Cricetulus griseus: one gene and its partner. The protein of the gene in region 1 purifies or fractionates together with the protein of each later gene. This does not show direct contact. Links are inferred from orthologs where the notes say so. Each region holds a gene or a part of one and is shown in the gene's direction. Other genes may lie near its edges.

Region 1 (3,752 bases):
CTATCCAGAGCTGGTGAGATGGCTCAGTGGGGTAAAGGTGCCTGCTACCAAGTTTGCGTTCAATCCGCTCCCCAAACCCACACAGTGGAGAGAGAATACCAACTCCTGCAAGTTGTTCTGTGACCTTCCCATGTGCACCATGGCATGCCTGTATTCACACACTTAAACACACAGAGAGAAATGCAATACAAAATTTAAAATGCTATCTCAGAGGGTAACCTGATGCACGATCCCATGTGTTTAAGTCTTGAAAAATTGCAGAAATGGGAACTGGTTTGCAGTTGCCAGATGCTGAACAGAGGTGGAATGACATAAAGGGATGCTTCAGGCAGACCTGTTCTGTATCTTGACTGTATTACCATCTATTTTCTGCTTACCGTAGCGTTTGGTACCATAACCCCACAGGGTTGGAGGAAATTGGGTTAAGGGTGCATGGGTCTGTGCATTAGTTCTTCCAATTCTTTATTAATATACAATTATCCCAAAATAAAAAGTCCAAAATAACAAGTAAGGAACAGCTGTCTCAAAAAAAGAAAAAACGGAAACGATAGACTAAATACTGACAATGGGCAGGGGTGAGTTTGGCCCTTACACACTGTGGCCCACCGAGCTTGCAGTTTCAGTTTTGCTTTTCTTGGAGGGCAGCCTTCATGCGAGTTTTCTTATCCATGACTAGTATGTGGCCACACACCTGAAGGCACTTTTGATTAATTGTCAATAACGTTTAAAAACATTTATTCCGAAAATGTATTAGCAAGTTAATTCCTTCACGTGGTTACAGTAAATGAAAAGGCTCTGAAACGTTCACGATCGAGAGAAGAAGACTTAACCACAGACGGGAAGAAAGCCTCGGTCCCTGAAAGTAGATCAAACTGAAGTTTGCTTAGTGGACAGCTTCTTGAGAGGCGCAGACTCCGTTTAACAAGCCTTCCCTCCCGGGTCCGGGCATTGGTTGAGGTTACAGGCTTTGGGTGGCACTTTCGTGGGGTGGGGGGCGGGCCTTGGCTCTCCGCGGCCGTGGCAGAGCTGGCACGACGAGTTCCCAGTGTGCCACCCCAGGGCGAACTCGGAGACCTGCCCACTACCGCTCCGCAGGGGCGGCTCGTGCAGCCCAGTGGCGGCGGCGGCGGCGGCGGCTCTGGCCGGGGAAGAGTGAAAGGGAGCCCGTCCCCGCCTCGTCCGCCCGCTCCGCCCCATCCTCTCCCGGGAGCCCACCCGAGCCCGGGCTCCGCAAGGCGGAGGAGCCGTGGTTCCCGCCAGTTCCCGTTCCCGGACCGCGCGAGCCGCAGGGTCCACCCTGCCCTCCAGCTCCTGCTGTCCCACCGGATCCGCGACCCTAGTCCCTGGATCCCCACACCGCTGGCCACCGCGCTCCCGGGCCGCCGGAGCCAAAGTCCTGTCTGTCAACTTGGTAAGTCACGGGGGTTGGTGCGGGCAGGCTCTCCGGACCAGCTGAGGAAATGAAAAGCTGCTGCCGAAAGCTCTGGCTGAAACCGGGCGGAGAAGCCCCCGAGTTTCAGATGCAGCCTGTTCGGAGGCAAGCACTTCACAGCCAGTGGAATCGAAGATCCTACTGTGATCTAAGGCCCGCACGCTCAGCCCGCCAGCCTGCAACTTAGTATCGTCAAATGTGGACCAGATCCAGATGACCAGACCATTCCACAGACCGATTCTGTGGGAATTTCTAGGCTATTGCTTCAGAGTTGCAGGGGTGATTCCAATGTGCATGGAGTGTTAGGAGCCAGAGACCAAAGAGTAGTTGCCAAAAGAAAGTGCCTGCTGACTGGGACTTCCCGGAGTGCAGCCTACAGACAGGCCAAGGCTTCCAGGGACCTCCTAAGGTCCTGAGGTCGAGGGAGGACTTTTCCTTGTTTCATGAAACACAAAAGAAGGAAGCAGGACAATGCTTGCTTGGCAGGGTGGCTTTTAAGGGTAAAGCCAAAGGTATGCCTGCAGGACAGAGTCTGAGTGCTTGAAAGCAACCTTCCTACTTTAGACATTAAGAAGACCCGGAGTGCCCAGCACTTGGGAGGCAGAGGCAGGTGGATCTCTGTGAGTTTGAGACCAGCCTGGTCTACAAGAGCTAGTTCCAGGACAGCCTCCAAACCCACAGAGAAACCCTGTCTCGAAAAACAAAACAAAACAACAAAAAAAGAATACCCGAAGTGTTCAGGGTTAATATCCAGAAAGTCTGTTGGAGAGGGGAGTCCCCCTGTTCACATCTGTTGTGATCCAGGAGCCACTGGAAAAATGGACAGTCATCCTCATACATGCTGGCCAGGGGAGAGGCAGATTTAAAACCCTCGGCCTAGAGGTGGAATTGGGCCCTTTCGAAGGCTGAAAGAGTAGGTTTTGTTTTTGTAGAATAGAGACCCAGTAAACCTGACTCCTACCTTTGATTCTTCCCACTTGAATGATGTGATCAGCAAGTTGAAAATGGCCCCTCCAAGCCTCTCTTTTCTTACTGATAAAGTCTGGACAGAGTGAAGCTAACAGCTGGATAAGGTACATTATATGGTCCATAGCAGGGGCTCCATTACTGGACGATAGAGTAGTGGTAATTTATGTGCCACAATTATCTCTTTTTAGTGTAGCCACTATGATGGAGTATTTGTTCAGAAACTGTGTTCCTTAAAGCCTCACTCTCCTGTGTTTCTACACCATATATATATATATTTTTTAAACAGTCACTTTCAAGAAAGCTGGGCTGTCAGCAGGACTTAAAACTGATGCAGCACACATGGCTCTCTTGCTGGCAACAGCCTCGGTGTTCTTGTTTTGCTCTTGACTGTTGGTCTGGAGTCTTTCATCAAAGACCAAGGACAGCCAGGGATCTGAATAAGAGAATTCCACAACCTGTCCTTACTGATGCCTGCCTCCCATTTAAAATGGCCACCCAGCTGCCCACTCTGTTGGGACTGTCACTGCCAGGGTTAACAGCAAGCAGCAGCACTGTTTGGATAAGACATTCAAAACATAAACTGTGAAGGCATGGCGGACAAGTGTCAGTCACTGTACGTGACAGTTTCTTCTACATTTTTCTTTGGGAGGATTTTGGGCAAGATGGAGTTAGGAGAGCTCCTATGTACTTGCATGCCCTGCAGCAGCCTGCTTTTCGAGATGTCTACAGGTTGTGAGCATGTCTGTGGAGGCTCATGGAGGGCAGGTGTTTCACCTAAACTTGACTCTGTAGTGAGAGGGAGTAGTTGCTGTCTTTTCAATTAGCTGATGGATTTCAGGAAGTGCTGGGACACTGGCCAACACAAGACTTCCTGGCTTCAATGCTTACTTAGACTTGAATTTCATCTGAAATTGGCAGGCACCAAACTGTGGGCAGAGTCCTATATGGAGTCAGTCACAGCAGGAGGCTCCACCCTCCCCAGTTAGTCTCCTGCCAACCCATGGAGAACAGGCTGTTATCTGATGGAGCGCTATCCAGGCCTCTGATGGAAGAGAGTAACTAGAAAGAGATGCACGTCTTTATAGCCAACGAGGCAATGAAGTACCCTGCTTCCTTAAAACCAACAGGCTAAGCCATAAACTCACTTTAGAATTTGTTTTTGCAAACAAGTTATTTTCCTCAGAATTATAGGAAAATATATTTTAAAGGAGTAGTAAATGGTTGAAGACAAAGCCCAGGAAATGGCCCAGTGAGCACGTACGTGATTCGCACTAGGTCTTGGTCCATCATCATCATCATTACTACTGCCGTACTGGGGACTGAACCTAAGACTTTGTGAATACTAAGCAAG
Region 2 (3,652 bases), on another chromosome or scaffold:
AGAACTGGCTTCTGAAGCTGCCCTCTGACCACACCCTTACACGCCCATACACAAATGAATAAATTTAACAAAAAGAGTTATTAAATGACCATTTCTAAGCAATGTTCAGTCTAGTGTATGGCATACGAGGAGCAATAGTCGATGACAGGGAGACTGGAAAGTACACCCTAAAAAACATTACTCAGATTCTAGAAACAATTAGTTTCCCTTAAAAATGTGTAATATTCTGCTACAAATTTGATTAAATGTATATTACATCTAGAGTTACTGGGGATAGCACTGTAGTATTTAATTTGTTAAGAGGCTGTGGAATATTAGTAGTATATTACTTTTCTTGGGTCTGATAGCCATTATAAACGCAATATATGAAAACAAAGGCAGTTAACTTTTGGACATTTTAAAGAAAAAAGGATAATTTTAATTCAAGTCTTTCATCTTATAGATTGCAGATTTTGGTTTATCAAAATGGCGCATGATGTCACTCTCTCAATCACGAAACAGCAAATCTGCCCCCGAAGGAGGAACGATCATCTATATGCCACCCGAGAACTATGAACCTGGACAGAAATCCAGAGCCAGTGTGAAGCATGATATATACAGGTACTGAGCATTGCTTTTGTTTTATCAGAAATATAAGATTAATCAGCCAAAATTTTCCAACGACATTTTATAATGAAATTTTCTTCTAATTACTTATAATGAAAATAAATTAGAGACCACAATGGCTGATATTTTTCAAATTAGACATTTTTGCTTTAAGTGATTTCAACGTTGTTTAAAGATATGAAGTTATATATTTTTCCCTATGAATATGTAGCAGTGCTCAAAGGTTTTCAGCGTAAGTTACTTGGGAAAGCATGGGCAAACAGGAGTCTATAACATTTAGTCACTATTACTTATACATTACTCACTTTTAAAGAGAGTTAAACAAACTGTTAAACCTATTAGGGATGTTTTTATTTAAATCATCCCTAATGTTTATATATGGATGGATCCTTTATACAGTGAACCAATGTGTTTAATAGAATTGTGGTTTTATGTTTCATTTACAGCTAATTATAACCTCACAGTATAGTAATTAAGCATAATGTTTTTAATATTGCTTCTTTGGCCAGAGTAAAGGAGGATGATAATTTATTATGCACAGAATTATAGCGTGGGAGCTTTTACCTCATGTGTAATTCACATCTGTCTCTTTAACCTGCCAAGGAATGTAAATTATTTTAAATCCATGCTATAGCGCTTTCAAACAACTTTTGCTATCTTTAATAAATTAACATAAAAATGAAGATGTTTTAGTAGTAAATGATATGTCTTGACTAGAAAATTGCATAATCAGCTTATATAACCCTTTTGTCAAAAAAAGAATTTTTTTACTCCTTATTAAATCTGTGGCAGCCAGTTCATGTCAGTGAGCATCTAGGACAAGTATCTGTCACATTCATGTCATTGTACAAAGAAGGTTTCTTCTTCCATTGTTTCCGTATATCCTTAGTTCATCTAAGTGAGGTGCCCAGTGAGAAGGAACAGAACGGATTTGTTTCTGCTACATGAAGACTACATAGTCCAGATGGTTTGAGTCTATAAAGACAGACCGTTTGGTTTTTTTGTTTGTTTTGTTTTTTCCTGGATTGAGAGATCTTGTGGTTTCTTTCATTGTGTCTGTTTACACACTGAACTACACTGATTGATTTGCAAGTGTTGAACCAACCTTGCATACCTGAGATGAAACCAGCTTGGTCAAGGTATATGATCTGCTTGATGTGTTTTTGAATTTGATTTGCAAGAGTTTTATTTAGAGTTTATGCATTTATGTTCATGGAGGAAACTGCACAGTAGTTTTCTTTTTCTATGGTTTTCCTATCTAGTGTTGGTTTCAGTGCAATGTTGGCTTCATGGAATGAGTTTGGTAGTGTTGCCTTCCTTTCCATCTTATAAAACAGTTGGAAGAAGACTGGTGTAGAAAACCATTGGTGCGTGCCTTTAATCCCAGTATCCAGGAGGTAAAGGCAGGTAGCTCTTTCTGAGTTCAAACCAGCTCGCTAACAGAGTGAGTTTCAGAACAGCTAGTGCTACATAGGGAGAGTCTGTCTCTCCCAAAAGCAAAAGAAGCAAAAATCTTGATAGAATTTGATGGTGAATCTACCTGGTTCTGAGATTTTCCTTGTTAAGAGACATCATTGTGATATCATGTGTGTGTGTGTGTGTGTGTGTGTGTGTGTGTGTGTGTGTGTGTGTGTGTGTGTGTTGATATAATTTTGGTGGTCATATATATCTAAGAATTTACCATGTCTTCTGGATCTTCCAGTTTTGTTTTTTGTTTTTTAAATGAGTTTTCTAAGTCCTTCCTAATAAATCTTTGTATTTTATTGGAAACAAAAATGTAGACTTCCCTTTTCATCTCTGATTTTATTAATTTGGCTCTTCTTCTTTTAGCTATTCAACTAAAAGTTTGTCCATCTTATTTATGTTTTCAAAGAGCCAACTCTTTGATTGACTCTATGTATAGTTCTCGGGCTGGAAGGATGGCTCAGCTCTTAAAGGGTAGACTCACAACCAAACATATATTCTTGTTTTTGTCTCCATCTCATTAAGTTCTGCCTTGATCTTTATTATTACTTGCCATCCAGTGCTTTCGAGTTTGAATTGTTCTTGTGTTTTGTTTTGTTTTATTTATTTTTGGTTTTTCTAGACAAGATTTCTCTGTGTAGTCCTAGAAGTTTACTCTGTACCCCAGACTGGCCTCGAACTCAGAGATCCACCTGCCCCTGCCTCCAAAGTGCAAAAGGCACGCACTACCACCATCCAGCTAGGTTGTTCATTTTATTTAGTACCTTGAGGTACTTTGTTGGGCTATCACTTGAGATCTTTCTGACTTATAAAGCACTCACAGGTACAAATGTTCCTCTTACCTTGAAGCTGTGCTTTCGTTTTCATTTGATTCTAGGAACTTTTAAATTTCCTCTCTAACTTCGTGAATGACTCAGTGGTAATTCAAGAGTTCGTTCTTCAGTCTCCATGCATCTGTATAGTTTCTGTAGATTTTCTTTCCGTGTTTTGATTTATTGTTTCATTGCACTAGGAGCTGAACAAGTAAAAGAGGTGATATTGATTCCTTTGTATTTGCTTAGACTTGATTTGTAGCCTAGAATGTGGTCTGTTTTAGAGATGGTTTGGGGGCTGCTGAAAAGAACATGTATTCTGTTTCAATTGGATGGAATATTCAGTAAATACTGGCTCAATCCGATGATCTATGATGTACTTTAACTCTGAGATTTCTTTATTGATTTTTAGCTTAGTTGGTATATCTATTGGCTGATTGAAATCACCTACTATTATTGTTTCACAAATCAAACCATGAGTCTGTTTTATGAATTTGGGAGTGCCAGAGTTTGCTGCATATTCATTTACAGCTGTTAGTTCTTGGTGAATTTATCCTTTCTCTCTTCTGACTAACTTTGTGTAGAAGTTGGCTCTTTCATCAGAATAACTACTCAGATGATTTTTAATAGATTCTTTTATCTTTACCAATAATGTACGATTCTTAGAGACAACATAAAGTAGGATCTTGTTTCTTGATCCAGTCAACTCTGCCTCCTTATTGTTGAATTATGGCCATTTTCATTTAAGGTTACAATTCACGGGTACTTAT

Evidence for each region. Proteins that work in one complex are often made in the same cells at the same time.
Region 2: the proteins of Nod1 (region 1) and Ripk2 purify together in Homo sapiens (affinity purification with western blotting; 4 studies listed by BioGRID and IntAct, with this or other methods). This does not show direct contact. The link is inferred for Cricetulus griseus from reciprocal best matches to the Homo sapiens genes NOD1 and RIPK2.

What each region holds. Positions count from the first base shown.
Region 1 is NC_048601.1:86,340,904-86,344,655, forward strand, and holds the start of Nod1 (nucleotide-binding oligomerization domain-containing protein 1), read left to right. Parts: upstream 1-1,244; 5' UTR 1,245-1,411; intron 1,412-3,752. UniProt on the Homo sapiens protein: Pattern recognition receptor (PRR) that detects bacterial peptidoglycan fragments and other danger signals and thus participates in both innate and adaptive immune responses.
Region 2 is NC_048595.1:130,003,584-130,007,235, reverse strand, and holds part of Ripk2 (receptor-interacting serine/threonine-protein kinase 2), read left to right. Parts: intron 1-442; coding exon 443-600; intron 601-3,652.